Notamacropus eugenii: one gene and its partner. The protein of the gene in region 1 interacts with the protein of each later gene in a pairwise test. Links are inferred from orthologs where the notes say so. Each region holds a gene or a part of one and is shown on either strand. Other genes may lie near its edges.

Evidence for each region.
Region 2: the proteins of PRMT3 (region 1) and RPS2 interact in binary tests that used the Homo sapiens proteins (3 or more experiments, as listed by UniProt). The link is inferred for Notamacropus eugenii from reciprocal best matches to the Homo sapiens genes PRMT3 and RPS2.

What each region holds. Positions count from the first base shown.
Region 1 is NC_092877.1:29,737,873-29,754,468, forward strand, and holds the start of PRMT3 (protein arginine N-methyltransferase 3), read right to left. Parts: upstream 6,572-16,596; 5' UTR 6,329-6,571; coding exon 6,301-6,328; intron 6,194-6,300; coding exon 6,043-6,193; intron 5,922-6,042; exon of another isoform or gene 5,899-5,921; intron 1-5,898. Other genes in the region: oxidoreductase HTATIP2, read right to left, coding at 11,377-11,602, 12,561-12,622, 15,465-15,602. UniProt on the Homo sapiens protein: Protein-arginine N-methyltransferase that catalyzes both the monomethylation and asymmetric dimethylation of the guanidino nitrogens of arginine residues in target proteins, and therefore falls into the group of type I methyltransferases.
Region 2 is NC_092872.1:48,374,238-48,390,447, forward strand, and holds RPS2 (small ribosomal subunit protein uS5), read left to right. Parts: upstream 1-7,952; 5' UTR 7,953-7,967; intron 7,968-8,310; 5' UTR 8,311-8,313; coding exon 8,314-8,490; intron 8,491-8,616; coding exon 8,617-8,706; intron 8,707-9,269; coding exon 9,270-9,377; intron 9,378-9,640; coding exon 9,641-9,814; intron 9,815-9,905; coding exon 9,906-10,065; intron 10,066-10,674; coding exon 10,675-10,766; intron 10,767-10,828; exon of another isoform or gene 10,829-10,961; intron 10,962-11,034; coding exon 11,035-11,115; 3' UTR 11,116-11,154; downstream 11,155-16,210. Other genes in the region: RNF151 (RING finger protein 151), read right to left, coding at 1,927-2,373, 2,793-2,889, 3,301-3,446, 4,656-4,658; NDUFB10 (NADH dehydrogenase [ubiquinone] 1 beta subcomplex subunit 10), read right to left, coding at 11,327-11,430, 11,678-11,817, 12,065-12,203.

The DNA of each region.
Region 1 (16,596 bases):
TCCTCTCAAAAACCCTAGGAGGTTATTATTATTCCTATTTCACAGAGAAGGAAACTGAGGCAGATGTAAAGTGACCTGCTCAGTCACAGACATGTCTGAGGCTAGAACTAAACTAAGGTTTTCCTGACTCTCGACCCAGCACTGTACTCACTGAGTCACCTGATTGCTCTAAATATTAAATGAGTATCATATCATATTTCAATGAATCTGTTATCTCTTCAAAATGGGTACCACTTCCAGTGATTAAAAAGTTCACAGTCATTACCAGTCCCTCCCATATTGTGTAAATATTGTCCCTGTCTTTCCATTAGTATACCGCAAAGGATCCATTTCCTGTGCTAAAAAGCCCTACACATTAGTTCTTTTAACATTTTAATACGTACCAGTGCAACATTCAGGTTCAGCATCTGTTATTTCTTACTCTAAATATTCTTATTAGTATCTTTTGTCACTTGCAAGTCATCACTGCTGGAATTGTAATTCTTCTGAAAGTGTGGTATGCCACTATTTGATTTAAATCTTTATCCTTTCTTCTCGTTTGGTTCTAGTTTTGACCTTTGTTCCGACCAGTTCGTTTTATCTGTTGGTACAGTCAGCTGAGTTTGGAAGGACTCACATCTATAACCAATTTGTTTCATTGTTATCAAAATATAATTAATTTTGTTTTGGGGGCTCACTCTATTCACTGCCTCCTTGAAGAAAGTTTGTTAAATGTGATATAAGGATTCTCATTCTTCTAAAAGCTTAAGGGAACTTGTATTTCTTTATCTCAAGCCACATTTTCCTTCCCAGGCTGAAAATACCGCAGATTTAGTTGAATTCACCTTTCTTCCCCAATTGTGTGGAAGTCAACAAGTAACAAGGTAAATGTTCAATTATTTTGCAGGCTCTTCAATACAATAAAAATTAATAGCGTACTATGTGCTATGCACTTGAAACACAAAAGACCAAAACAAAATAGCCCTGATCTCTAGAAATTTACTTTATGGAGAGGATAAGGTCAAGTGCTAAACAGAATTCTCAATTTATTCAGTCTCTGAATGAATTAAAAAAACCCTTTACTAAAAAACACCATTTAACCATGTGCCAGGTATTGGGGACAGAGACTAGAAAAAGTTCCTGATCTCAAGGACCTAACACTACAAACAGGAAAGCCAACATATGCAGCAGAGGAGTTCATCTTCAGAGTGGACAGAAATCCCAAAGGCCCCAAGGGTACAGGGTGGATGGCAAGGCCCAAGAGTTTGCAGGACACATCAAAGTGTCTACCAGAAAGGAGAGGCCTGCCACCTTTGGACAGTGAATCTAAGGAACAGAATAGAGAAAAGAAACTGGGTTTCCTCCACTAGAAGAAGAATTAAGGACAGAGGGAATCAGTGCCAACCAGGAGGCTGTGTTCACTGTGAGGAGGAAAAAACAAAATGACCAAGCAACCCATCAAAGGATGGTTCTTACTGTTGCCTTTGAGTGTAATATCATACAAACCAACTCTGCTAACTTTTTAATTTGTTAATTAATATAAATTGTTAATTAATTTTTTTCTAAATTTAGGATGACTTTGACCTTTCCTTCCATCTAGCTGCAACTTTGTTCTGACATCTCTGCTTCAATAATAGTGATGTCAATAGGGATGAAATTCAGTTCCTACTGTAATCAATTCGTGGTTGTTGGACAAAGATCATTCATTCATTTACAATAAAAGCAGTTGAATTAATGTTTACAAACAATCTTAGGAACCATGCCATGCTTAAGTACCTCTCTATCCCTTCTCCTGTCATGCCACTATCACTGGAAAAGGAGTCAGCATCAGAGAGGAACTTTTTGCTGCTTTTTTTCTTTCATGGGTTACTGTTGCCAAAAATTCTCCAGCTTTCTAGTGATTAACATCTCCACATTTAGCCTGATTTCCCAGACAAAAGAAATAATCTATAGCTGGAATAATATCTGAAGTCTTTCCAGTTTGCTGGAACCTGCCAAGACTTGCTTTTCACTTGCATAGGCTTCAAGAACACAGGGTCACCTCCAAAGCATGAGATATAAAAGTAGGACTTTTGCAAAAGAAGAACTGTAAATTACTTCAAATCAAAATTAGTCCTTAGAATCACAAAGTTCAAGAGCCGGAATTTTGGAGATCATCCAATCCTGAGTTAAGATAAGACACAATTTTAGTTGCACCTTGCCTACCAGCAGCACAACCTGGACAAGAATCCAGGTCTCCTGAGTCATGCTCCAGGATTCTTACCACTCACTACATCATACTACCAGGTCTGGCTTTTATTTGGCACTAATATAAACATTTGTCTTTTTACTACCAAAGTTCATTTGTCTTTAAGATGACAATAATTTCTATTTCATAAGATTGTTTGTTACAAAATGTCTTGGACACATAAAGCCTTTTTTCTTTCTCTCTGATAAAAATGATAAAGAATATTTTCTACTTGGAATTCTTCCCTTCTCCTCAAAGTGCAAACTGCACTTTTAAAGGCTCTGAGCTGGCACAAAATGCTTTTAGAGAAAAAAAGTATAAAGCACAATTTATTAATCTGGCACATTCCCACAGGATTTTAAAGCTTCCAAAATGATCTTGTAGTGTTCCAAACCTACTTGGCATTCCAAACGTACATGGCATCGTGAAGTCCAAAGTTCTTTACTATGTGACTTGCAAAACTGAAGGACACAAAAACTAGGACTTTGCTTAAAGTAAACTATATTGAATAGCATTACTGAGAACAACTGATTAAATGTCTCATATGTGCTAGTACGTGTGCATCAATTATTTAGTTTGAATGAAATTCTTCACCAAGTAAGGATTTGTAGAACTCATCAGACCTAAGGAAATATAGCTGTGAATCTGAGCATGACATAGTAGAAAGTGCACAGGACTGGGAGTCTAAGGACATGTTTGATACTGGCTCTTCAACATTCTGTGTGACCTTGGGAAATCAGTTAACTTCTATGAGGTGCTTGATGAGATAACTTTGAAGGTCACTTTAAGTTCTAAGTCCTGTTATCCTAATGAGTAACAAGACAGCAACATTCACAGAGAGTAGCAGCACAAGGAAAACAAAAAGTACCAGACTGGGAGCTAAGAGACTGAATTTTGAGCAGCCCTGGCATTTACTAGTCATGTGAACTTGGACAAGTCACAGAATTGCAGAATCTTATGGATGGAAGGTATTCCTCCCCATAGCATCACTACCACAGCAGGGCAAGGAGGGGATATACACTATCAAAAGAATCATTTTATTTTGCCTACAGATAATAATATATACATATATATGTAAGATGTACACATACACATATGTGTGCGTATCCATATCCTTAAAGGGGGCACAGGAGTAAATGGAGCGCTGGGCCTAGAGTTGGAAGACCTGAGTTCAAACCCTTAAGACACCTACTTAGCTGTGTGACATTAGGCAAATCACTTAAATCTTCATTTGCTTCAGTTTCCTCACATGTAAAATTGGGATAAAAACAGCACCTACCTCACAGGGTTGCAATGAGAATCAAATGAGACATTTATAAAGTTCTTAGCATAGAGCTTCTCATGTAGGAGGCATGAAATATATGCTTATTCCCTTCTCCTTCCCCCTCTCTCATCTCCCACCCTTAAGTCTTTCAGCTTAATGACTGGATTTTTCTGGAAAATTCCAATTTCTGATGTGATCAGGCTTCTTTTCTCATTCAAATCATAGCTAGGGTCACACCTTTTTTTTTCTCCAGGAGGAATTTTCTCAAAATTTGTAACTGCCATAATTCCCAGCAAATGAGGGCTCCTCATACCTAGAACAGGACTCCCCCTCCAATGTCCACCTGAAGGCCTCCAGAGATGGAGAGGTCTTACCTTCAGAGACAGGCCCTCTCACCTTGGACAGCTCTTCACATACCAACCTAAACCCTTCCTCTGTGTAACTTCTACCCATTGCTCTTAGCTCTGCTCTGAGACCAAGTAAAATAAAAGTCTGATCTCTTTTCTACACTTAAAGTTTGAAAATATGTCTTTTCAAGTCTTCTCTTCTCTTAGCTAAACATAACTAGTTCTTTCAAATGATACTTCTAGGGTAGTTTCAAGTAACTTCATCTTTCTAAATGTCCTAGTTTCAACACAATCCATTCTGTCAACATCATTCTTAAAAATGAGGCAACCAGAACTGAACAAAATACTACAAATGTGCTAACTAGGAATTCATGTTATGGAACTACACATTTCCTAATCAATATCTGTACATCTTAATTTCTGAACCCTAGTACAGAACTTTATGTTAACCCAATTAAATTTCACCTGATTTGATTCAAACCTTCATTCCAGCCAGCCAAAAACTTTCAAAATCTCAATTTTATCACTCATCTTCAGATTTGATATACATACTCTTTAGAGGTTCATCCAAGCCACTGGCTTAGACTTCTTTGAACCTGTTTCCCCATCTGTGAAATGGAGGATCTGATTACTGAGGTATACGAACTTCAGAAAACTCTTTAGAGGAAAGTGTAACACATGATACAAAGGCGCCCTCTTGCACAAAGAGCATAAATGAGAATACTGAAGCAACAAAAGATGTCGCAGTCAACTCTCAATTAAAATACTACTAATTACTATCTCTCAATTTGAACTTCAGAACTCAAATATAACATTTTTATAAGCAGTTAGGGCTGGTTTTAAAGATTATCTATCAAACCTCTCCATTTAAGTGTAGGAAACTGAAGCCCCAAAAGGCAACTAGAAGGTTCCTCCTTCTGAGGTCATCTGGTTCATTCCCTCATTTACAGTTAAGCAAACAGCCTTGGAGATATGAAGTGACTGGCCCAAAATATTTATATAGAGAGAAAACATTTATTAAGCACAAAGTCACAACTTATAAATGACAGAGCTAATACTGGAAGCAAGGTGCTCTCCAAATCTAGGAGTCTTTCCACTACACCATGTTGCCTCCCTTGAGATAAGCTAGGTGACTTGAGGTCACACAATTCCGTCCCCTAAGACTGATGCAGATCACAGAAAGACCTCTCAGTAGATACTAGGGCTAGCATTTAGATAGAAGGGTAATATATTAGAGCTGGAAGGGAACTCAAGTCTCTTCCCTCTTTGGCCAAACCTCTACTCAGCTATCAAAATGATTGTCCTATCTGCCATGCAATAAATTGCAATGGCTCCAGGTTAAATCTAAAATCCTTTCTCCAAAGCCCTTCATAACCTGACCCTGCTACAGGACCTGATCTCCTTACCCCTGTCTATTGCTAAGGCCAGCTGGTTAGTCTTCCTGCCACAAGTCTCTCTCCACTTGGGTCTATCCTCTCCTCAGCTTTCAATTCCTTCTAAAGTACCGGTCTAACCTTGTAACCTCCCCTCCATAACCCTATTATATTAGCAAATATAAAATCCTTTGGGGTTCAAAGCCCTTCAGAACCTAGAGTCCCTGATTTTTCCTGTCTTCTTACACCTTACCCCAAGCCCTGGGAGATCTAGTGACTCTACTTTCCTTGATGTTTCTCCCCTGTAACATTGTATCTTTCAGCTCCTGGAGATTTCCCAGGCTGTCTCCCAGTCCCGGGGCTCTCCCCCTCCTCATCTCTGCCTCTTGGCTTCCTTTCAAGTCTCAGCTTAAGCCCCACTTTCTGCAAGAAGCCCCCTAACTTTCGTTCCTTCTTCCCTTCCTCGGAGTATCCCCAGGATAAATGAGTAGATTGTTATTTACAGATTGTCTTCCTCATTGGACTGGGAGCTCCAGGAGAGCAGGAGTCGTCTTTTGCCTTTCTTTGTATTCCCAGCTCTCTAGCACATAGTAGGTGCGTACTAAAAATGCTTGATGTTTTGACTTGAACTTGGGGGACTCGAGGTGGAAAGGACCAGAGGTCAAGCACGTGTGTAGTCCAATCCCCTCGTTGAGTTAAGAGGCTTACCCCGGGTCACACCCTAGTGTCTGACGTAGGATTCGAACCCAGGTCTCTAAGTCTGCCAAGCCTCTTCACATACAGCCTTTTACAGGTGAGGAAACTGAGGCTGGGCCTCGCGCCGGCGCCCTTCCCGGGGGCCAGCCAACGAACCTGTCACAGAACAGACAGGGGGTCTGCTGCCTCTCGCGGCGGGGGTCTGCCTCCTCGTCCTCGTCCTCGTCCTCCTCCCAGGCCGCCTCGTCTCCGCTGTCCGACAAGGCTGGCGGCTCCTCCTCAGCCGCCTCCAGACGGCGCCCGGCGCCTGAACAAGCACAAGACAAGCTGAGGCCTCGGCCCAAGCCCGGCCGCCGTGCCCGGCAGGCCTGGGCCGCCGCAGGCCCCCGTTGCTAAGAGGAAGGGGATACCCACCGGTGACGCCCGTTGCTAGGGAGCACATGGCGGCCGCCTGCACGCGGGGAGGGGAGCGATTCCCGAGGGGGAAGACGGCGGGGCGCGGGGCTGGAGCGTGGGGTCCACGGGGCGAGGGCCTGGGGGCAGCCGGCACGCACTCACGCACGCACACACGCACGCACGCGGTCTGGAGTGAGGGGGCTCTGGGGCGAGAGAGAAGGGCCGGAAGGAGGTGGGGGAAGGGAAGGACGGTCTGCGCGCGCGCGATCTGGCGCACCCTCTTCCGTCTCCGCGAGCAGGGAAGGGGTGTCACGTGGTGGGGACTCTTCTTCCTTCCCCCTCCTTTGATCCCCCCGCCCCCGCGTGTCCTTTGCAAAGAGGGCGTGGCTAGAGCTCTCTCTTTGCTGCGGCCGCTCTTGGTGGTCCCTGGCTTAGCAGAGGAAGGCCCAGGGTTCAAATCCCGTTTCCTAAGCTTAGTCTCTGTGACCTTGGAAAGGTGACTCAGCCTTCCGGGGCGTAAAAGGATGAACTAAATGGCCTCTGAGATCCTCTCTGCAGCTTCCCTGCCCCGTTCCCTCCAGCCCTTGGAGGAAAGGAAACCAAGAAACGCTTCCCTGCTACATTGTTTCCCTCTACATCCCCCCCTCCCCCAGGTGCTGCAGCGCCGCAACCAGGCTGAGAGCCCTTAGATGGAGGAGGGGGAGGAGGATCTGCAACGGGCCAGGGCACCGAGGATGTCCTCTTAAATTTAAAACAAACAATCCTGCCCACATGCACTGCAGACAGCCTATGCAGATGCCGCATTCCCCGAGCCTCTATCATGGAGGCAAGCCAGGCTAATTTCAAAGCTGGAATGTCATCGCCCTCCTATCCGTATCTAAAATCAGAGCTATTTGCAGAGTGATGAAAAAGCATCCTGGTGGTTACTTTTAGTCTGAGCTCTATCTCTTTATTTCCCTTTATGACCTTATTTAAGTCACAATTAGGGGCCAGTTTCCTTATCTATAAAACAAGGGAACTGGATTAAATGAACTAAAAGGTCCCTTTCAGTTTTAAAATACCAGGTCACACTAATATCCCCTTTCTTAGTATACCTATAGCACCACCCCCTAAACTACCCAATCGCTATACTTGGCTGCTAGGCTATACAGCTTCGCAGTCCTATTAGCGCACTGAATCGTCCTTAATAACCATTTTTTTTTAAGTTCTATTAATTTTAACTATTAATTTTCATAATATGGAAATGAGAAGCATCGGTGGCTTCATGGCATAGAGAGCTGCCCTCAGAGTCAGGAAGACCTGGATTTTCACCCCATCTTTGCCCCATACTAGCTATTAGACCAGTTAATTGACCTTTCCGGTCCTCTTGGTAACTCTAGACTATAAATTGTAAAGTAGGTTCTGTACTGCAATAGTTCAGATAATTCCCTATAGGGATGAAATCATAGAAATGGAAAAAGAACCCCACTTTATAAGGTTAGAGGATGGTGATATTTGGATTCTCTGGGTCCAAGTATAGGAACTGTTTCAACTGAAAGTTACCGTGACTTTCACTGTGCAAATATCTTTTTTCTGAAGTATATAGACACTAGTCAAGGAGTTACAACTGGTTACTCATTTACTCAGTCCACAATCATCTACTCATCACACTGTCCCAGGTACTGAAACTCAGTCTGGTTTCCTGACACTCACAAGCCCCAGTTCAACTGGATGGCTTGTTAAACTCCTGGAAAGTAGGAACAATACTTTACATTTCTTCATATCTTTCTGTGCTTCCCATGTACTATCTTGTACATACTAGTCACTTAAATATTAATTGAATTCATTCATTTAACCAATACTTATTAAGTAATTATAATGTACAAAGCCTTGCATGAGGCATTGGAAAATAATACAAAACTTAGATGAGATCTTGTCCTGACTGCAACAAAAGCTTAGTATCAGTAGAATGTGGGCTGTCCCAAAAGTTAATGTGATCTTAAGCTACATAAATTGCATTATGTAGCTTAATACATAAGCTACATAATGGTATATTTATGTATACCATAACTCTAGATAATAATACATTATCTAGAGTTCCCACCTCTAACATACTAGCTGCATGACCATTGAGCAAAGCGCTTAATCTCTGTGCCCCCTAAATCTATACATTGAAAAATAGTTACCATGCTGGTGGGAGCATTTTCCTTACCAGGAGTTACATATGTCAAAGAAATAACAGGATTGATTTGTTTAGTTGTTTTTGACACCATTTGGGTTTTTCTTGGGAGGGCTACTGGAGTGGTTTGCCATTTCCTTCTCCAGTTCATCTTACAGATGAGAAAACTGAGGCAAACAGGGTTAAGTGACTTGCCCAGTGTCACACTGCCCTTAAGTGTCTGAGGTTGGGTTTGAACTCAGGTCCTCTTAACTCCAGGCCCTCCATCTATTCACTGTGCCACCTAGCTGCCCTGAAATCACAGATACAGACAAAATAAAAATCTATTTGCACTGTTACTTAGGCTGTCTTCAGTAGTAGGCACATTTTAGAAGGTATACTGATAAACTAGAGCATGTAAAAAAAAAAGTCAAGATTGTGTAAAGGCTTGAAACTATGATATATGAGAATCAATTGAAAAGCTAGATGTGGATAGTCTGGCACAGAAAACAAGTTGGGGCTATAAGAGGGGCTATAGGAGGAAAATGATAGCTCTCTCCAAATACTTGAAAAGTTGTTTGTGTTATGAAATGGAAATTGAACATTCAAGTTATGGAAGGGAGAACTGAAAAAGGTAGGAATTAGATTACAATAAATCATCTGAAGTCCTCCCCCAGTTCCACTTCCAAGATTCTCCACCCTGTCCCAGCTCCCTTCTTGCCCTGGATGATCCTTCTGCTCCTGCAATCCCTCCTCCCACTGGTGAATTCCTCCTGGAACCTCTATTTTGAGGCAATGCTCCAACCAGCAGTTCATCACTCTTCTCCTGGCTCTGCTCCTTCCAGGCTTCATCACCTTGCCCCAGTGTGGGTACCTTCTCCTCTGCCCATTTCCACTCCCTTTTAGGTGTTGTCTCCTTTCATGGAAGGAGAGTGAGATTTACATCTTTGCCAAGCTCTGCCTGACTTAAATCCAATTTACTGGAAAGTCTAGACATCACCCTCATGTCATTGGTCTTCTCCCATGAAAGGATGAGCAATGTCATCTTTCTTTAGAATATTAGCTACCTGAGGGCTTGTGTTCATATTCCCTGTGCTTAGCATAGTTCTTGGCACATAGTAAGGCTTGCTGACTTAGGAGTAGACAGCCACCACTGGTGTTCAAGCAGAGGCTGGATATTAGAGTGGGGAATCATCGCTGGTTAGGGGGTTGGGTGTGATCATCTTTAAGGCCCCTTCCCTTCTAAATTCAGAGAACTGCAGAGATTCCCTAAACATCTCTTGGTTCAACTCTGCAGTGATCTGAGTCCAGCCATATGAACAACGAGAGACCTCAACTTCAGTTGTCAGTAATCTGAATGAGATGCCTTACTAACCATTAAAAGGAGTTCCTGTAAATTCCAGTGGATAGTGAAGTCAATAAGCATGTATTAAACACCTACTATGTGCCAGATGCTGTGCACAACCCTCTTGCATTAATGTAACAATAGGAAGCCCCCAGGTAGTAACTTTGGGGTCTTCTTCTAGTCCTAGTACCTACAGCTAAAGAACCGCCTAGTTCAGGGAATGCATGAACTTACTTTATAGCTATTTTGATTATTATATTCCAAAATAACTTATTTCCCTTATATTCCTCTGTATTTTATTTAACAAATTTTAAAATATTATTCTGAGATTGGATTTATAGGCTTCACTCGGTCTTCCAAAGGGGTCCAGGACAGAAGAAAAAAGGTTAACAAGAGTTATATGTAACCTTTGTTGCTTTTCTGCTTAATTCAAGAACCACAATATCATTCGAGATATTCCCTTTTTATTGTGTATTTTAAATAATCAGTAAAGGCACAGGACTTATTTAAGCCACCATGTACATACAGTATGCCACAACCTCTGTAATCTGAACCAATTGGATCACTGTAACCATGCTTCCATTCATGGAGAAAAAAAGTCCCCAAACGAATCTTTTTTTAAAAACAATTTTATAACTTAAGAAGGAGTGCTTTGCATACGACAAGTAGAATTGACAATGTATTAGGAAAATGGACCAGAATTAACATGTAATAGAAGTACTGGGGTTCTAATGGATTGAGGAAAAGACCACACAAAGTTTTGACTAGATCACTGACTCTCAAATGCAGAACCCCAAAGGACCGCAGGGTTATTACAAGGCTAAAGGAATTAATATGCAAAGCTATAAATAAACCAGCCTTCCATAGATCAAATGTTTCACACACATATAAATGGCTATTAAAAAAACTATATAGATGCTGTTATTAATAAAAATATTAAATCATTTAAAAGAATCTAGAGTAGATTTTTTTGATTACATATTTTCTCAATAGCTGATACTGTAACATGTGAGTCAGATCCATAATTTTGACATTTAAATAAGTTAGGTAACACCAGCTGCCTCCAAAAAGGGTGCAGTGGATAGCATGCCAGCATTACAGTTAGGAGGACTTGAGTTCAAATTCGACCACAGACACTTGGCACTTGCTAGCTGTGTGACCCTGGGCAAGTCACTTAAACCCAACTGCGTCAAAAATAAAGGTTAGGAATTACTAAATAAATTAACTTTTTCAGACAAATAATATAGCTAATATGTATCGAATGTTTTCAGATTTGCAAAGAGCTTTACATACATTACTTCATTTGAGCTTTACAACAACCCTGTTAGGTAGGTGCTATTATTTATTTATAATAATCATTTACAGATGAAGACTCTAGGGCTGAGAAATATTGAAGTGATTTGCCCAAGGTGACATAGCTGATGTCTGGAGCAGGATTTGGACTAAGTTTTCTGGACTTCAAATGCAGTATTCTATCAACTGTTCCACCAAGGGGCCTCAAATTATTATGTTATATGTAAACTATATAGTTCTATATTCCTATTATCTTGACAATGTCAACATGACAATCAAAGGCAATCAGGAAGAAATGGCATTTTTTTTCCTAATGGGATCATGGCTTGTTAAGGTCTTCTGCTTCCCCAAGGTTATGGATGGCCTGGTTGTCCAGCAACTCCCTCTTCTTGTCACTTGGCATTATTAGGTTATTAACCATTGCTCTGACAACAGTTGTAACGGGTACCGAATGATCTTTAGCCCAAGAGGTTGGGAGTGAACTAAAGAATTTTCTGATCAACCATTCACCTGGGCGGGATTCTTTTCTGTTACATAAAAGGACTCTAAAATGTACAAGGAGAAAAACAAATATCTTATGATAAAATACATAATTAGAAAGAATTTGGATACAAGATTTCATCTGATACTTAAGGAAAAAAATTAAGGAGACAATTAATAATGCCCAGCAAGTATTTCCTAGCTACTCTAAAAAGATACTTATCCCACTTTCTCCCAAAAGCAAAGGCAGGGATGTCACCAGGACAAGCTAATACCACCTTGCCCAAAAGTAGAAAGGAAAGAGTAGTTCTTTTTAACCCTGCTCTCCTTAAATCAGGGGTTTTTAACTTGGGGTTTATGAATTCTTTAAAAAGTACACAGTGATAACTGCATATCAATGTAATTGGTTTCCTTTGTAATCCTATGTATTTTACTTTATGCATTTAAAAACATTATTCAAAGGAATCCATAAAGTCTATGGTAAATATCTAGAAAGTCCTAAAGGCTATATGGTAAGTCTAAAGTCCATAGACTTTATCAGTGCAAGGACACACAAACAAACACACACACACACACACACACACACACACGACCACTGCACACATACATACACACACACACACACACACACACACACACACACACAACCACTGCTGTAGAGTGCTGACAGAATAAACTGTCTTGGCCATCTTGAGTTGTCCATTTCTGGACTAGACAGACAGACCAGAATAAAAGCCAGAGGGACAAGCACTGAAAAATATAATCTTTGGAGTCAAGTGGAATGTCCAAGACCAAAGTTCTTGACACTGTCACAATGATCCTTTCCTATCCCTGGTTTTATCTAAGTCTTGAAGATGTTCCTTAGTTCCTCATTATTTAGTACAAGAAAATATGACATCCCCAAAATGTATGATTATCTTCTGCTTTTGACTAAAAATTAAAAATCTGAGCTAGTATCAGCTTCCCCTAAAGCCGAATTTAGTCCTGAAGGCAAGAAAGTATATGCAGCACTAAAATACTTACGCAGGCCTAAAAATTGTGTACCGATCAAAGTTAAGTTCTTCAACTTTGGCTTCTACTTCACCCTAAAAAAATAAATCAGTATTTAATTAAAATCAACTCATCGCTCCCTGCTCTACTCCGACAAATTCAAGATAAGAATGACTTCACCTTCTGCAGAGTAGCCAGTCCCCAAAAGTCTGAGTTGTACCTATGATTCATTTCCTTCAATATTCCAAGAATTCATGATTATAGCCGTGGGCACATCATCCACCAACACAGTGCCTTAGTGGGTGACTTGAGAAATTTATCACCTACTGTTGATGAGTCTCTCCTCACTTAGCCAAGTTAGTTCTTAGAAGAGAAGTATTGTCTATGGCAAAGATGACTCAAATCCAGTCATTTTTAAGTTTAGACTCAAAGTCAACCTGGCATATCAGATGGACAGGTTCTACCAGATCTTTGACCCCACCAGTATTGCATACAAGAACTCAGGGTCTCCTCCATGTCATGACAAAGCACTGGTATAAATAGGTCTTTTATCAGATTTGTGAATATATAAAAATAAGAAAATTTTAAATCTGGAGAAGCCCATCTCATTCAAATCCCTGATGGTAAAATGGAAGCTCAAAGAGATGAACTGACCTACTAAAAGTTCATTTCTAGAGAACTGTACAAGGTTTTTCTTTGAGGGCCTTTCTCAATCCTGAGATTCTCTGATAAACTTCTGATCAATCAATAAACATTCATCAAGCGCCTGCTATGTTCCAGGCATTGTGTGAAGCACTTATAATCTAATGGGGGAGACACGTAAACAAATACATATGAAGTAATCTATATTCAGTATAAATAGGAAATAATTAACTGAGGGAAGGCATTGGAATTAAGATACATTGGGGTAGGCTTCCTGTAGAAAGTGGGGTTTTAGTTGGGACTTAAAAGAAGCCACAGAGGTCAGTAGTTGAAGGCTAACACTACACTGAGGAAATGTGATGCAGTGGACAAAATGCTGACTTCAAAGTCAAGATCTGGGTTCAAGTTCTACCTCTGACAACCTGTGGGCCATATATGACCTTAGGGAAGCGTGCCCCTTGGGTGTAAGACTAAGTCACGGAGAAATTTCTGATTTTCATTGAGAGAAAAAGTGCTTGGAAGAGAGCTCCCTGCATTGAGGCAATCGCAGACTGTGTGAAACAAGAACATTGTGTGATAATAAAAATAAATGTCTCTCTGCTCTCAGACTAATATTCCAGACCAGTGGCTTTCATAGGGTTTCAGGCCATGAAGCACTTCGGTAGGTCTACTCCTCCACCCACATACCCATCGTACCAGAGGGAAGTTATCCTTCTGCCCATCTTACAGAACAAGAAACTTTGGCCCAGAGATGTTAATCTGGTAAGCAGCTTGCCCAGGGTTAACACAGCTAGTCATGACTTCATCTGCTTCTTTATTTGCTCCAATGTACCATCTTTTAAGGAGATTACCCTTAAGGTTTTTGTCTCCCTGGGCATCAGCAGACACAGGTCTTAACCCTGGTTCTATCATCTGACTCGCTATATAACCTTGAATCAAGCCATTCACCTTGACAAACCTCAACCTCCCCATCCATAAAATAAAGGTGAGAGCCTAGATGATCATTAAAGTCCTTTTGAGAGTTGGATTTTATAAACCTATAAACCTTCAGTTTTCTATGTTAGGCAAAGTAATTTACAAGATTCTTCAGGAAAAAATTTTTCAATCAAAATGATCTAGCAGAAAAGATGCTGCTTCAGGCACCATTGATTATAGTGGCTTTCATTTCAAGACAAAAAATTCTATGAATGTTTAAATCTAAGAACAGTACCAAGAAAGCAACACTACATAAACTTAAGAAAATACAGAATTGCTTTCATCTTAATGCATTTAGTTCTGAATGGTTTTTTTTCTTTTCCTCCCTAAATTACCCATTGCATTGTTTTATGTCAACAATACAAAAAAAAAACTGTTTGCTTCTTGGAATTCATATCTGTAAATTATTTTTATTGCATAGTTTTCCTTTTGAGAATGCACTCAGCTTTGGAGTTAAAATTTTATCTTAAACTTTTATATTGACAATAGGACAGATGTCAATTTAAAAACGATACCATGCAGTTCTTCCAGGGTGAAGGGCCATGGTTCCTGAATGTTTTGTTGTTCAGTTGTGTCCAACTCTACATGACCCACTGGACTGTGTCCATGGGATTTTCTTGGCAAAGATACTGGAGTGGTTTGCCATTTCCTTCTCCAGGGTGTCCCACTTTTACAGATAAGGAAATGGGGCAAACAAGGATAAGTGACTTTGCCCAGGATCACACAACTAGTAAGTGTCTGAGACTGGATTTGAACTCATATCTTCCTGACTTCAGACCCGGGGCTCTATTCACTAAGTCACCTAGCTGCCCCTTCCTAAATGCTTAATGGGAGCCCTAATAGTGCTGGGCTGAGTGGAAATCTTTAGTAATAACCTATGGGGTCAGATGATATTTTACTGACCTTAACTGCATTTAAGTTCAATAAGTCAATTACATACATACAGGATGAGGAAGACAGGAGCAGTTCATTTGAAAATAAAAGGTCTTAATTGATCCCAAGCTTACCATATGCCAATGGTGTGATGAAATTACTAGAAAAGTTAATGCAATCTTAAATTGCTGATTTTGATAGATGCGAATTCTCAATGAGTAATCAAAATAAACACTAGAGGTCAGTATGGAGAGATATTTTCTAATGTAAGGTAACCCTAAAATTATTTTCAAAGCTAAAAACAACCCTTTCCCCAGTAAAATATTTTTCATAAGTATAAAAATTTAAGGTCATCATTATTCACACTGACCAGATGTACTCGTCAAGTCATCATTTAGAATGGCCAAGTCTCTTTAACAGTTTCTAAAAACAGAAGCCTATACAAACCTTAATTTGTAAATATAAAAAACTGCTCGACTTATCAGCGCCTTTAGATGAAAGTAAGTTGAAATGTTTGCAGCCTCCAGCTTTTGCCAGCTCTGCAGACTTCAACACATAATCCCGGTCAACACGGACAAATCCATCCTGCGGGAAGAATAAAAGATGTGAGGGTGATTTCCAAGTGGCTGTGAGTTAGGATCGTGTCTCTTGGTTCATCTTAAAGATTAGTCTTTGTTTCTGGCTTGCACCCAAGCTCCATCCAAAGGCAGTGCTGAAATTCAAAAGAAGAAAGAATCCAAGTTCGGACAGCAAGACAGAGTGCCAACTTGAGTAGAAAGGAGAAAAAGAACAGCTGCAAGGGAAAAACCAAAGCAAGATAAGAGAGAAAAACACAAGAGGCCAGGAAAAGTAACTGAAGGTTAGAAAACTTTCTATTTCTTCAGTCTCAATCATTTTTTTCCTAACATCTCCATCCATCTTGTGTTTTGTTGACCTCTCTAAGCTCACTCTGTGTGTTAAATGATAAGTTCTTTACAATCTCCTTATACCTTATACTCCTGTCCCCAAACTAGGGACACAATTCTCTTTGCTGTTCCCACAAAGAGCACTCCATCTCCTGGCTCAAAGCAATGTTAAAAGGTTGTCCCCCATACCTGGAGTGCTCTCTCTACTCATCTCTGCTCCTAGAAAGTTCCACTTTCTACAAGATACCTTTCCTAGTCCTTAATGTCACTGCCTTCCCTCAGAGATCATCTCCAATTTACCCTGAAAATATATCTTATTTGTACATAACTACATATTTTTTCCTTGTTTAGACTTTGAACTCCATGAGAACGGCGACTACGTGGGGGTGGGGGTGGGGTTGTGTGTGGGGGTGTGTGTGTGTGTGTGTGTGTGTGTGTGTGTGTTTGCCCTTTTCTTTATATCCCTAGTGCTTAGAATGGTACCTAGCACATACTAAGCACTTAATAAATGTTTAATAAATTTGACTGACCTGATAAACCAAAACTAAATTCTAAAATAATACCACCATGTGCTAGCGAGATCACACATAGAATGCTTTGTTCAATTATGGACACTATATTTTAAAGAAGAACATTAACAAAGAGAACTTGCCTAGAGGCAGGAAACTAAAATG
Region 2 (16,210 bases), on another chromosome or scaffold:
GAGAACCATTTTCAATATAATTAGTTTCCTTTTTAGTCGTACGTATTTTATTTTATGCATTTAAAAACAATGAGATTCTGTCTGTGTTCGTTCTTCATTTTTGAAGAAGACCACGACATCAGAGAAATGATGATGTGACTTGCATTTGACTTTAAGTAAGGGAGGGCTGTGCAAGGTCACCAGCCTCACTTTCTCCTCCTGAACCATCTGGGTCCAGTGACCCGGTCCATCAGGATGACTGGAGATGGCCCAGGATGCAATGGGAGACCTTGGCCTTTTTAGGCTGGCCTTTTCAGGTACTCAGAGGGAGGTAGCACCTTGAGTGAATAGGCCTCTTTAAGAAGTAGTCAGGGAATGACCCTTTTAATGAACAAAAGAAAAATAACTAAATCAACAGAAACTGTTGCTAGTGATAATCATTGTTGTCCAGCCCATGGGCTTCAGAGTGTACTGGCTTTAAGGTTTTGGGAACGAGAAGGAAAAGAAGGAAGGAAGGAAGGAAGGGAAATCTAGCTAGTAAACTCCAAATCCCCAAAGGAGGGTCAGACAGATAGAAGGGAGAAAATGAGCTGGGTTCCCACTCAGGTAGCTGTGCCTGCTCACAATCAGCGTTTGTCCTTCATTTTTGAAGAAGACCATGACGTTGAGATTATAGACTTCACCAGACTGCCAAAGGGATCCATGGAAAAAAAAGGCTAACCCCTGGCTTTATGGTTTCGCCCAGCGTTATGAGTCACCCTTTCCAGAATGTGTTCCAGCTTATTAATGTCTTCCTTCTTAGACTCTATCAGACCCCAGCTCTTAATATTCCTCCAAACCCCAACCATGCTCCTGGGGGTGGGCGTGGAGGGGTGGTGCCCATTCTCTCCCAGCTCAGCTCTAAAACATGCCATTAACAATACTTCAAATATTGTTTGACAGGTCAGATCTTCTTCCTTCATATCCAGTGTAGACCCTGGTTCTACTTCATTAATTCAATTACTGTCATGTCATACTAGAATCTCTCACACACCCCTGCCCCTGACGTTTCTTACTATACTCTTCTGTTAATCTCTAAATTTGGAGGTTATCTGCACTGTCCAGCTAGTCTGCTCTTAGGGTCCTTATTTTAGGGCAATCTACATGGGGAGGAGCCCTTGTAGAGAAGGGGGATCTCATGGCAACAGAAATAGGCTGCAGTGGAGACTGGGCCATGGAGGTCCTAGTAATATATGGAGTTTGGGGATTATCTCAAAGAGACACATGCTCCAGAAGAGTTTGGGGGGGGGGGGGGGGCACAGTGTGTAGACAGGGTAGTGCCTCAGAGTAGTGTTGGAGCTTCAAGGACAATTTTTAGACCACAGAGGACTCTCTCAGCAGTGTAGACTGGGCAGTGGAAGAAGGAAAAGCTGTTTCAGGGCTACTGAACTATAAGACCTAGGTTCAAACCTCAGCTTTAACACTTAATAACTATGTGATCAAGGGCAAATTAATCTTTCTGAACTTGTTTTTTTCATCTGTAAAATGAGGAGGATGATGTCATCTACTTAACAAGGCTGAGTGAGAATGAAGCAAAACACTTTGTAAAACTTAAATGGGAGAGTAAATGACAGCTATAGATAATATTGTTGGGGTATCCTCTGGGCAGCATAGACAGTTTCCTGGGGAAGAGGGGTACTGCTCAAGGCTGCAAGATATGGGGATGAAGTAGTTTTCTCAGAGGAGATGGGAGTCCTTGGAGGGAAATGTAACTTGGGATACCCTGTGTGTGTGTAGGGCGCATCGCAAGGCTGAGGAACAAGGCTTGGGACCCCTTGGGCTTCACCTTTATTCATCCTTCTCTATTTACAGTCATAGTAGCCTGGTCTTCCCCAGTTTTCCCTGGAGAAGGTCAACCCCAAGGGAGGGGATCTGGGCAGGAGTCCTGACCATCCAGCTGGGCAGGCGTTACACAGCAGCCCTAGGTGTCTCGGTGTTGATGTTGGATACATCCATGCTTTCCTCCTCTTCCTCCTCTTCCAGGAAGGTCTCCAGCCGGGTCAGCTGCCTTCGGATGAGGCTGGTGGCCCGGTGGATCCGCCTCATTCGATGTTGAAGGCGAGAGACTATGGCCCGGCCTTGTGCTCTCCGGCGGCCCCATGCCTCTCGGAGCTCACGGTAGCAGTTGTGGCTCTCCCTTTCAACAGCTGTGAGTGTGGTCCCACAGCCGAGGGGACAGCGCTGCTGTTGCCTGTGTCCACAACTCCGGCCATGTTCTGCTAAGGCTGCCCGCTGCACCCTAGCCATGCAGCCTGCATTAGGGCAAGGGGTGAGCTCAAAAGGACAGGAATCCAGGTGGATCCTACGCTGAGATAGGGGACAGGTGACACAGCAGCCAGCCTGGGAATTCTTGCACTGCACAGACACAGAGACAGAGTAAGGGGACACAAAGAAAGACAGAGAAGAGAAAGGTAGAGATGGGGGCAGGGGAGAGAAATAGAGAGGACAGGGGAGAGAGGAAAATAGAAGAGGGAAACAGAGTGACAAGAAAGAAGAAAAACAAGAGACAAAAGATGGAAAAGATCAGTAAGTAGCTCTGGGAAGCTTAAATTTAAGTTCAGCCACTTCTTATTGATAATATCCTCTCCTGGACCAAACCAATCTGCCTCCAAATACTGGATGGAAAGTAGTGGTTTTGAATGATCTATGCCCTCAGTCCTTTCCCAGTGTGGATGATCAAGGGACTGACATCAACAGTTACATTGGTTCTTCCCCTTCCCAACCTCTTGAAAAGTGAAGTTGCTTCCTGCTTTGTTTGATGGGTACTGCCATACCTTGACTTGCAGGCGGCCAATGGTTTTTCTGAGTCTGTGCACCTGGACCATCAGTTTCCTCTTCACTTCTTTCCTACAGCAAGGACATGTCTTTTGTCTGGGGAAGAGATAGAGAGTCAACAGACCAGCTTACCAGGCATGTTCCTTAGGAAATAATCCATACCCACCCACTACAGAGTATTCTGGACAAATGTTCCCATGACCCTTTGTAATGTGTTAGCTTATTAGCTAGCAGAATTCATTGAGGGAGCAATGGTCTCAAATATCTCCTCACTACTGGAAGGAAAGGGAAGAGGAGGGTGAAGGAAATGAGTTGGGAATGGCTGGGGCGGGGAGAAGAGGTAGTCATTGTCTGGGACCTTCCTAAAAAGGATTTTTTGTATAATGGATTTTCTTAAAGTGGAGTTTATCTTTAATCATGTCCTTGCCTTATTTTCACCTATACTGACACAGGTAAAAATGCCTACACTCATTCCCACTGAGTTGGGAGCGAGATTGCATATCCTACCTAGCCAGCCAGGTTAAGATGCATTTCTTGCAGAAGATATGCCCACATGGCAGTTTCACTGGTCGCTTGAGGACCCCGTGGCAGACAGAACATAGCAAGGCACAGTCTGGGGGGCTGGCAAAGAGGTTGAGATCATATCCACCACTCTGTAAGTTCAACCCAAGAAAGAACAGAACAGAGACATAGGATTAGTGACCAGGAGAAGATGGGATCCTCTCTCCCACCTGGCTTCTCTTCCCCTCCCCAACCTGCCCACTGGGGCATCAGCAAGAGGCTGGTTGTCTGATGTCAATACAAGAGTCCTCCCTCCTTTTCCAGAAGGAACTCAGCCCTTGAGTGCTCTATAATCTTTGAAGGCATGCTAAGTAACTTCACTAAAAAACAGGCACTCTGGCCATATAACCAATTGTTTACTAAGAAGGAAAATGGGACAAACTGGAACGAGTGTTCGATTTCTGGTCAACCCCCACCCCCCCACCTGTTCTTTAGTCATCCAGCACACCACGGGGGCCTGGATAAGCCCAAATCACATGCTCCAGAACTGAGTGCTGAGGTCATGGTCACATTGCCAATCTGGAGTTTCTGGAAGCCTGTACCCTCGGGCCAGATCATTCATACACTCCATTCATTCAAACACAGACTAGCAGTGATCATCAACTGAATTAGTAAAGTTTCTCTTAACACCAGATTCAGGCTTCCTAAGGAGTATTGTTCAGTTGTGTCCGACTCTTGGTGACCCCATTCGGGGTTTTCTGGAGTGGTTTACCATTTCCTTCTCCAGCTCATTTTACAGACGAGGAAATTGAGGCAAGCAGGGTTAAATGACTTGCCCAGAGTCGCACAGTTAGCAAATGTCTGAGGCTACCTTTGAACTCAGGTCTCCCTAACTCCATCTAGCTGCCTAAGTGTACATCCCATTTATTCTCAGCACTATAGTATTATCATGCTTTTTCTTTTTCTACAGCCCAAAGGATATACATTAACATAATAAAGAGAATGAAACCAGTTCGGAGGGAGAAATAACTTACCAGAGGTCACTTTGCTGCCTGAGACTGAGCCAGGCCTAGAGCCCAGATGTCTTTTTGGGGAAAGGTGAGACAAATTAAGGCAGACAAGAATCTGGGGAGACTTTTAATGGGTTGAACAGGGCTTATAGACCCCCACTACCACTCTGTTTAAGCTTCTAGTGACCTCCCCTAAGGAAGGTGCTACTTAGGGTCTCTGGAGCCAAAGGAACAGGCCCCCAGGCAACAATTCTCCCTTCTTTTGCCCTTACTATGGTGTAATGTACACTGAAAAATATGTGTGTCACCCCTTCACAGAGAACAGAAGTGGAGGAGAAGGCATGAACTCACCATGCTCGTGGTCTTGGGCAGCCGCACTACTGAGCCAAGCCAGGCTCAGACCCCATTTCACACCTCTAGTTCAGGTTGACATCACAGTCTCATTGTCTACCATCAACCAATCACAGCCTAGTCCTAGGGGCAGAGCCCGGCCAGAAAGGCTGATCAGGACCCAGTCAGGGGTGTTCCTGTCTTTTCTCCCTAGGTACCAGAAGGCCACAATGGGGACAGGATCAGACTGCAGTCATGGTCTGTTATCAGTTGCTTCTCCACTGTATATACTTTCATTTGATTCTCATACTCTTTGGCGGAGGACCGTGATGGTTTTTAACCTTTTTCACTGATGAAAAAACTGAACTCAGGTTTCTTCCAAGAGACAATGTAGTCCTTAATTTTACTGAGAAATTGAGGCCCTGGAAATTCAGGACTTTTTCCCACTGCAGACTTATGACAAGCTGTTGAACTCCAAGTCTAGGAGCACTGAACAGCCAAGTTAATTGCTAAATGAATGACTGTTATTCTGCCAGGGGATGACAAGCACACAATGAGTTCTAGAACTATCTGCTAATTTCCTATGATTTTTTGCAGAGTTCTTCCCCCTTTCTGGGCATTGGTAAAAATAAGTTTTGGATCAATGACCTTTGCTGGAGATTTCCAGTGTTTGGAACCTTCCCATTAGGAATCTATTTTTAAAAATTCTAGGCCTCCCCCATCCCCACTGCCAGGCTATAAAGGGATAATTACAATTTGTACTCAGGATCCAAAGGAGCCTGGAACCTCCATGCATTTAAGCACTTATTATGTACCAGACACTGCTAAGTCTAAGAGCTACAAAGAAAAAAGAGCATAGTTAGTAAGATTTCAGTAGTCCATGGTGGTAAATAAGGTCTAAGATGGAAAGGCAGGAGGTGGCCAGGTTATGAAGGACTACATAAGGTAGAGGATCATATATTTGAACTGGGAGGCAATAGAGAACTACTGAAGTTCATTGAATAGGGGCATGACAGTCAGACTTGCACTTATGAAGTGTCTTTTTGTTTCCTGAGAGCCATGAGAAATAACTCATTTTGCTAATGGGGAAATGTAAAAGGTTGTCACTTACAAATTACTCTTAAGATGGCAGCAATCATAACAAGAACCCAGAGCCAGTGAGATGGAAGCTTTTCAAATTGCATATACCACACACACAAAATGACACTTGGTTAATTGAGCTTTATTAGTCTCCTAGGTAAAAAAAATACAACAAAAAAAACAAAAACAAAATTATAGTGTTCACCTTCCATGTAACTCAATCCAAATGGCTGGCCCCTTATTTATCCATTAAACAAACAGTTGTACTATACTGGGGATGTACTCTAAACCGTCCAAAGGATTGATCCCTGCCCGCATGGATTTCAAGGAAACATTTACTGCAAAACGGAACTTTAGAAATCATATAGGAGTGATTGAGGTGAGCTCTTTAATCCATTATACATCCCCTCTCCGTTTTCCTCCAGTCTCAAAGAAAGCCAGACTTTCTGTACAAGTATCCTGGGTTTCTATACCAAATTTCTCTACACTCATTTTTGGTTATCTAATTAGCTCTGGATACCCTATGTGCACCTTCAACTTAAAATAGCCAAGTAAGAATTATTTCCTCCAAATAGCCTTAACTTTCCCATTACCCTCTGGTTCATACATCCATATCTGACCTTGTTCCACATCCATCCCCTTCTCGGTACTCTCACTCAGAAGCCCAAATTATGTCCCTGCCTCCCTTCAATTCTTCCTTACACACAAGTATCAAGTTGATATTACTCAAAACACAGATATCACATCACTTCCCTGAGTTCAAGAAGCTTCAGTAATTTCCTAGTGTCTCCAGAATAAACAAGATTTCTGTGTGGCTTTTCAGTAATTCACAATTCACTTCCACTCTATCTCTCCTGGCTTATTCCCACTTTCATATTCTGGCCAAACAAAACATTCCATTTGGAATGTTGTTACTGCCCACCACTTCTTAGATTCCTGATGAACCCAGTAGCGTGTGCTCTTCCCAGCCCATTTCTATCTGTGTTCGGTTGCGTGACCCTGTCACCTGCTGGACCCATACTGTCCAAGGGATTTTCTTGGCAAAGACACTGGAGTGGTTCATCATTTTCTTCTCCAGTGGATTAAGGAAGTCTGCCAAGGGCACAGAGCTTTTGAGTATCTGAGGTTAAATTTAAACTCAGGTCTTCCTGACTCCACACCCAGCAAGTCCCTAACTGCCTCCTAAGGACACAGAGGCGAAGTTACCTGCCCAGTGTTGGATCTGAACTCAGGTCTTCCTGACTCCTGCAGAGTATGTGGAGCCCACAGAGCAGGATCCACTTCCTTTTCGTCTGACCCCTGCCCCCCCAGATCTGTCATGAACTGGATACTTGGGGCTCATTGCCATCTTAGCTACCTCTCTTTCCCTACCCCCTCACTCCGCTTCTCCAGTATGTGGATCGTGGTGGGGGCGGGGGGCGGGGGACGGGACAGCAGGGGGTCGGTGTCAGCGGCGGTCCACTTCGCTGCGGGCCGGCTCCCTGCGCCTCCCCACAGAGGGGCTTTCCGTGCTCGTACCGGGACCCCGAGGTGGCCGTTCCAAGAGCTGGGCCTGAGGAGGAGAGGAGGGTTAGTGGAGAGGTCCCGCTGCTCCCACGCCCGACCCCCCCCCATCACGCGCCAGCATTTGTCGGGGCCTGGGTTTTATCCCCCACACTCAGTCTATGGGGGATAAGCTTAAAGACCCCCGGTGGCTGTGGGCGCCGTGGTCTCACCCGTGGCCATGGGAGCAGGCTGCGGGTGATTTTCAGACGACGCCGGCTTAACCCCCTTCCCGACAGACGAGCGCACCGCGGAGGCCCGGGCGCGAGATGGCAGGAGCCCTGAAGCTAGCTGCCTTCAGCTCCCCCTTCCCCGCCTGGCCGGGGTATTCCTTACCGGAGACGAGCCACGTGGGCCGCGGCTCCCCCACGGCCCTCCCGGGTACAGCACACTCGTGCTAGGAGGAACACCTTCGGATTGAAAGAAGCAGGAGAGCCCGCTTCCTCTAAATTTATACCCATGCTGCTAACCAACGCGGTTCCGGAGTCCCAGGGATCTGCTTCCGGGTCAGAAGCCTTAGTGGCGGCAGGAGTGCTAGGCCACACCTAGGCAGAAAAGTTGGAGGGGGCCGGATTCAACCAATCACAGAAGCCTCTCCGTTAATCTGAGTAATTCAGGAACCGGAGTTTCCGTCTAGAAGTTATCGCGAGAACTAGCTCCATATAAAAGGTTACGTTGCGTCTCACTCGGCCTTCTACTTCTAGGGAACACGTGAGTGGCTCTTTCTTGCTGCGGTATTTGGGGGGGAGGGGAGAGGAGAGGTGGGGAGAGGGCTGGGAGGACTCCGCGGGGGTCGCCGCCGCCCTTCCCTGGGGGGACGCGTCCCAGCTTGGGCCGGGCCGGGGCCGGGCCTGTCGGGTGCGGTGGGGCGCCCCGCGGAGGCTCGGCCCGGCATCCGTTGGGCCTCCTTCCTGGTCCGGGCCCCGCCGGCGGGTGTTGGTCCGCAGCGCTCGGGCGCCCTTCGATGCTGGCCCGAGCCTCTGCTTGGGGTGGGGGGGAAGGGGATCTCCGAGCCCCCGCTCTCAGCTCCGCTGACCAGGGTGTCTTCTCACAGCAAATGGCGGACGACGCCGGTGCCGCGGGAGGTGCGGGGGGCCCCGGGGGCCCCGGAGTCGGAGGCCGGGGTGGCTTCCGCGGTGGCTTCGGCAGCGGGGGCCGAGGTCGGGGCCGGGGCCGCGGTCGAGGCCGGGGCCGCGGCCGCGGGGCCCGGGGAGGAAAGGCCGAAGACAAGGAGGTGAGTCCCTGCTGCGCTGCGGGGCCTGCGCCTAGCTCTTAGGCTGCCGCCGGGCAGCCCCGGGCCGGGGGTGGAGGGGGGATGGCCAGCGCCCCCCGTAACCTACGGCTCTCCTGGTGTGTCTAGTGGGTGCCTGTCACCAAGCTGGGCCGGCTGGTCAAGGACATGAAGATCAAGTCTTTGGAAGAGATCTACCTGTTCTCCCTTCCCATCAAGGTACAGGGGAGGTGGGGAGTGGCCTTCCGGGGGTCTCTACCAGGGAATCTCCCCAACGCCCCTCCCCAAATACACATTTTTCATAGTCCCTCCAACCACTTTTCACCAAGAGAGGCCGCTTGTAGTAAGGAAGGAAGGTAACCACAGCACAGGTGTGCTAGCCTGGTGGCCAGGAGATGTAAGGGGTAGTGGACTAGCCCTGCCTTGACTGACAATTTACTTATCCTCACTTTAACCGTATAAATGACATCTCCCATTTTAACAAGGGGGAAAGTGTATTTGCCTCAATCGCTAATTGTTTAGGAAATCTTGGTTTTTCAGAGACCTTATTTCTTAAAAATACGGTGGTGTCCATATTTACATATAGTACGTATATATATATTTGAGTCACTGAATCTACATGAGGTCTAGCCTCTTAACCTGAAAATGAGGGTAGGATTCAACTCCCAAGGATCTCATGGAGCCAGTGTGTAAATCACTTTATCCAATTTAAAACTTGAATTGTGTATAAAAACTTAGATACTGTCTCCACTAGGAATCTAACCTAATCTTATTTTCCACAGGAGTCTGAGATCATAGATTTCTTCCTGGGATCTTCATTGAAAGATGAGGTTCTGAAGATCATGCCTGTTCAGAAACAAACTAGAGCTGGGCAGCGTACCAGGTTCAAGGTAATTTGTCTTCTTGGGTTAATTCAACCCACGCTTCATTTTATGGGCCCTCACAGTTGGCTGAAATTTGTTATATTTGTGATTTTGCAGTGAAATTCATACCCCCATCTCCAAATTATTTGGGGGAAAGTTCTCTGCCATCCTGGTGTTCTTCCTTACTAAGCAGTCATAGTCAACTAAATACAGGGCATCTGGCCACCCAGCTAATGTTTATATATGGGAGGGAGTTTTAAGAGGTCCTTCTAAAAGCAGTTTCTCTGTAGGCTTTTGTGGCCATCGGTGACTACAACGGCCATGTTGGTCTGGGTGTCAAATGCTCCAAGGAAGTAGCCACAGCTATTCGTGGTGCTATCATTCTGGCCAAGCTGTCCATTGTTCCTGTGAGACGTGGCTACTGGGGGAACAAGATTGGCAAGCCTCACACGGTGCCCTGTAAGGTAAGAAATAGGAGTATAATAAAGGGCTGTATAGCCTGTTGCCACATGACAGGAGAGGTGGGTTATCACTGAATTGCTCTTTGGTCTTCAGGTCACTGGGCGATGTGGATCAGTTCTGGTGCGCCTGATCCCCGCCCCTAGAGGCACTGGCATTGTCTCAGCTCCTGTGCCCAAGAAGCTCCTGATGATGGCTGGAATTGATGACTGCTACACTTCTGCAAGAGGATGTACTGCCACTCTGGGCAACTTTGGTGAGTGAGCTTTTAAAATACTCATGCTGGCAGTATAGCTTTACCACTGGTTGGCAAAGGAATTTAGGTTTTTAAAATAACATTTAGCTGCCCTTAGTTACACTAACAAAGATGAGATTATTAAAACCCAATGAGAGATTTTAGTGTTCTTTGTAGTGAAGAATGGAGCTTGCATTCTGTGGTAGAGGAGGCGTATACATAAATTGGAGGACTAATTTGGGGGTGTCAAGACACTTTGTGTAGATAACATGTGAATTGAGCAGTGAACAAAGCTGAAACTTCTATGTTAGCACACGTGCATGAGTAGGATTGGGATTTGGAAATGGGGGGGAGGGGTGGTGAGGAGTCAGGTTAATGTTGTTTGATGCCATTGTTATCATTGATTACAAAATGGGTAAGCCAAAAGTGAGATGAGACTTGACAGCCCTAAGGGCACTTAAACAGTATGGCTCTGGAGAACTGGAAAAGAACTTTTTGTGAATTCAGAGCAGAAAAGGTGAACTGAAGGTGGTTCCGTTCACTGAGCATGTGAAGTCTTTGGAAGATTTTTATTTTCTAAAATGAGTTGGGTTAGGTGGCTAGTTAATTACATGTAACTTCTTTCAACAGCTAAAGCTACTTTTGATGCCATCTCCAAAACATACAGCTATCTAACCCCAGACCTGTGGAAGGAGACTGTGTTCACTAAGTCTCCTTATCAGGTATGATATGATGGGAACTTGGGGGGGAAGTAGAACTGAGACAATTTGGGAAATAATTCCCCATCTCCTTAGCTCTGCTCAGTTGCACTTGGCCAAGCATGGTGTGACTGTCGTACACAGGAGAAAGAACAAGAATTCCCTTTGACAACAGCTTGACCTGCTGTGGTCTATCTGTTTCTATGGGATTTGACAACTAACTTGCCTAAACTGGAGGTTGTGTTGTACCCAGGAGTAAGTACAGTGAATGAAGCTTGTTTTGAAATTGCAGGAATTCACCGACCATCTTGTGAAGACTCACACTCGAGTGTCTGTCCAGAGGACCCAGGCAGCTGCTGTGGCAACCACATAGATGTTTTTTGTAAACAAATAAATTGAACCATAAATTGAACTAGATACTTGTAGTGGTCATTATTGATTGGGGAGGAGAGGGAGGCCAGACTGAAGTGGTTTACACCCCACCCCCATTTGCCAATCTTTTGGGCTTGATAAAAATACGTTACACAGATAGAACTGCAAAGACTTTTATTATTGGGAATAGAGATCAGTCAAATTTTGCTAAGTCAGGCGGCTGCAGCTTCCTTGGCAGCTTTCCGCTCAGCAAGCATTCGGTGCTTCTGCTTTGCAAGACATTTCCGAGCAGATGAATTGGCTCCAAGTTCATGATCTGTGAAGGCAGAAAAGCTTATAGGATTTAGGACCACAGGATTTTGATTTGTCAAGCAGGTTAGAGGTAAAAAGTTGTGCCACACCAGGCAAAACCCAGGGCTTAAAACCTACCCAGTCTTATGATTCCTAACAGTGAATCATCATACTTGATGTATCATCAAATCACATTCCTGCTGGCTAACTTCCACCCACAGACCACTGAGGCAAAGAGTAGCTTGTGTATATATATGGACCCCATCACTCACATCGATCCTGATAAGCTTTTGCAACCTCATGGAACTGTTGGAGTTCTTTCATACAGTTCTGTTTATAGCTGTCTCCTTCTCTCTGCTGACAGGCCTTCAGTCTTTCCTGAACAATATTAACAATTTCTTGATCAACTTTGCTGAAAGAAAAGGAGAAATGGGTGACTTACTTTTCTTGGCTCATGCAGCTAAGGAACATTCACTCATCCACCTCCCCAAACTATATACCTTGTCCAGGGTAGGATAGTGAAACCTACTGAGCAAAGGGCCAATTACATATTTGTAGGGTATCTTTATAAGCAGCATGCTGTGACTGATTAGGACAATATAATGAAGGTGTAAAGGGTGATTCTGGGGTACTGTAGAAACAATAAGTGGCATACGTACTAGTCTCTCTTCCACTGCATTTCTGCTTCAAATATGCACGCAACATCCCCCTGCTTGCACTCGGTTATGTCTGGTACTCGGCGGTATTGTCGATGATAGTAATAGGTCTTATTTTTGGCATGTTGTTGCTCGATAAATTCTGCAAGAGAAAAAGTCCATTAAATCCTTAATCAGTTTCTACAGAAAATTCTCATGCAGCACTGGAGTCTAGGTACTCTTAAATGTGTAGTATAAAATATTAGCTATTAAATTACGTACACATATGTAATTAAATATTAGCCTGACATTTCAGCTGCTAATCTTATTTTACTCAGTGATTACTATTAGGCCTCCCAAAGGCCATCCCCCACCCTTGGTTCCTACAAGTGCCCGATTAGCACTTTCTCATTCTCTCATCTGTCAAGCTCTCATCATTCCGAGGCTCTTGATGTCTTTTCAATTAATAGTATTTCCCTCTTCTCAAATACTCCTAGAGCATTTGTCTCAGCTGTCCCCATTGTTCCCTATTTCTATTAATAAAGTAAAATAATGCCTTGTATTTTACTTACCTATTCCCTCTTCCCTGCTTCCCCCCATTTCCCCTGCACAGCATAGATGTTGAATGGATTTGCTTTGGATCCCAGCTCAGAAATGATTAGAAGTTTTCTGGCTTTTTAGGTGGGTGGAAGATGACATGATTTTTTTTCTCTTTCCCCACTCTGTAGACTAATCTAGGGTAAGCAGGGGGTGCAGCATTAACACTTGAGAAGCCCCCACAACAAAGGGGGTTCACATGAACATCTGTCATTTTATGAAGAAACTAAGCTGAGTGGGCTTGAAGATGACCATATCTTATCTCTAGTCATCAAATCCTACTTTACATCTCAACTGAACATTGGGATGTGGGATACCATTCCATCAGATTGCCTGTGTTCATCCTGCAGGCAGTCGGTTTGCTCCCCCCTTCTCATCTGCTCCCCTTCCTCCTCTTCCCCATCCCTAACTTTAATGGATCTGAATATCACAACCAAAAAGCCCCACGCTCTCTAAAACCAAGAAAGTACAGACAAATCTCAATTATCTTAACAAATGGATAAGTCTGATCCACAAACATTCCAAAAGTCCTTCCTGTTTGCTTTGGAATGTATTATACCATGGTATATCTCACTCAAAACAAGGATGACACAAAAAACCTGAACAACAAAAATGAATGCTGTTAACTCCATACACAGATTGTGGCACTTTCCTCACAGTCAGGTCTCACAAGGTCTTTCTAACAATTTTGGTTACATATCTCCCGACCTACAGTGGATCAAACTACAGATAAAAGGGATGTGAAGGACTGCTACCGGCAGATGCTGAGAAAAGCAAGATGTGACAGCTGCAAGTCTGAAAGTGGAAGGAAGCAAGGCAGATTACAATAAAATGACTTGCACTCTCAAGGAGTACAGTAGTTAGGTCACATTATAGGACCCAATAGCACCTGAGAGGATGACTGAACTCTATAGCCCCAAACACCTGGAACCTGTCAGTGGCTCCACCAACTAAGACTGTAAGTTGCCAATTCAAATGGGTTGAAGTTGGGAGTGGAGAGGAAATCCATGCACAGATAAAGTTACAGGCGCAGACAGTGACATATTTAACAACGACCTAGTAATAAAAAAAAAAGAAAATGATTAAAATATTGAGCAAGGCACTGTCAAAGATATCTGTTTAAGAAAACAGCAAATGAGCGGCCAAAAACTGGAAATCAAGGGGATGTCCATCAATTGGGAAATGGCTGAATAAATTATGGTATGTGAATGTAATGGAGTACTATTGTGCTATAAGAAATGATGAACAGGAAGACTTCAGAGAGGTCTGGAAAGACTTATATGATCTGATGCTGAGCGAAAGGAGCAGAACCAGCAGAACTTTGGGCACAGCAGCGACCACAGTGTGCGGGAGTTTTTTCTGGTAGACTTGGATCTTCATAGCAATGCAAGGACGTTAAAAAAAAAAAATTCCCAATGGTCTTCTAAGGCAAAATGCCTTCCACATTCAGAGAAAGAACTATGGAAGTCAATCGCAGAATGCAGCAGATCATTTTGTGTGTGTGTGTATGTGTATTATGTTTTGGTTTGATATTTCTCCCATTTATTTCAGTTCTTCTACACAGCATGATTATAATGAAAATGTATTCACCAAGAACATATGTGTAGATCCTATATAGAATTGTATGCCATCTTGGGGAGGGATGGGAGCCGTGGGGGGTAGGTAGAGGGAAAAAAAAAATCTAAGTTTTATGGTAGTGATTGTAGAGCATTAAAAATAAATAAAATGAATATATTTAAAAAATAACAGTAAAAAAACCCCCCCAGCAAACTGGCAATTTAATAAAAAGACATTTGCACAGCTCTAAAGTTTGCAAAGCACTTTATATAGGTTTGAGCCCTATAACGAATAACCCTGTGAGGTAACTGTTATCATGATTTTGCAGATGAAAAATTGAGGCTCAGGTTAAGTGCTCTGCCAATAATCCCAAGCTGGATGTGAAAAGAGAGATGAGTCCAGCTCTTTTTGACTCTGGGTGAAGCCCTCCATGCACAGTGCTATATCGCTTAATTTAGAAAAATTTCCAAGCCAATAGTTCAAATGTTCAAAAAAATTCTGAACATTCAAAAGGGGTGCTCTTTAGTAACATGGGAAATTCACTTCCAAAGAACAGCTCCTTAATGGGTCGAATAAATAAATTCTTCTTGTACTGCCTTTGCAGAAGATTTCCTCTCCTTACATCACACCTAGCATTATCACTCAAATCCCACTGTTCAAACAGAGGAGTCAAAATACCTGTAAAAGGAAGCTTAGAGTTAAAAAAAGAAAAAGCCTACTTTTGGAGAAGTTAAGATGCCAGGTTTCCTTTATCCTTTTTCTTTCTAGTTAATGGGCTAAGCCTCAAATGTTCTGCTATGTCTTATGGGGCCAGGTGCAGCCCAAACCAAGCTACTCTGGGGACATTTCTTGAATAACTGCCCAACTAAACCTGAAGTCTATGAAAACGGGACTTCTAAGTAAGATTTTTACTTTCTTTGTATATAATTTATTTCTAAAAATTTATTTATTAGGGCTAGCTTTCTCTACCTTACCAGGCCTGGAAATGCAATGGCTACCCCCAGTCTCAATGCAGATAGGTAGAGAAGCTTTAACCTACACCATTTTTCTGACTCAGGCCTCTTCACTCCTCCTTAGAAAACCTGGTGGTCTTCCCCTTCCAGGAGTTCACCATGGCAGTGAAGGACTGAGCTCAGACACCTGCTCAGCTTAAGCCCTACTGTAGCTCCAACCCCCCCAACCTCAAGCCTCTCCAAAGCAGCAGGGACTACAGGTCTTGGTCTGGTCTTCGTAAACCCCATCACCAAATAAAGACTATTTCAGTGACTAAGCCTCAGATTCCCAGGGGCACTGCGAACAGCAGACACTAAGATGACATACTGATGTCACAAAGTTTGTACATATCTCTTCTCACCTAGACTACACCAATACCTGTTCTTTTCACCACTAGTCACTGCCTCTCCAAACCATCATTCACACTGCAGCCTCATCATGACATTCCTATTTCAAAAGCCTTCATCAGCGGCTCTGCATTGTCTATGGAATAAAGCATAAAATATCGATTCTGGCATCATCTCTTTTACTATTAATTACCTCCACTCCATGCCTGGAATTCTTTCCTCCCTCATCTCTGCCTCTTGGCTTCCCTGACTTCAAGATTCTCATTTTCTACAAGAAGCCCTTCCTGATCCCCTTCAGTGCTAGTGGTTCCCTCTGTTGAGGATCTCCAATTTTTCCTATACATAACTTGCCTGTACATAGTGTTGACATGTTGCTGCTGGTGTGCCCTTCCTCCACCCCCAATCCCATTACACTATGAACTCCCTGAAGGCAGAGACGTTTTTGTTCATTTTTTTGCCTTTTTTATACCTCCTGGAAAATAGTAGCCACTTAAGATTGCTGACTCTGCCCGACATTCAATGAAACTTAAAACTCCTTAAGAGCAGGACCTACACTAAATCTATTTTGTATCTCTATCTCCTACCAGAAAACACTTCTTGAAGATTTATAAAGGGCCTCAAATGCAAGCAGCTGTGAGCTTTCTTTGTACAGAGTACATGGAGTCCCACAAGAAGC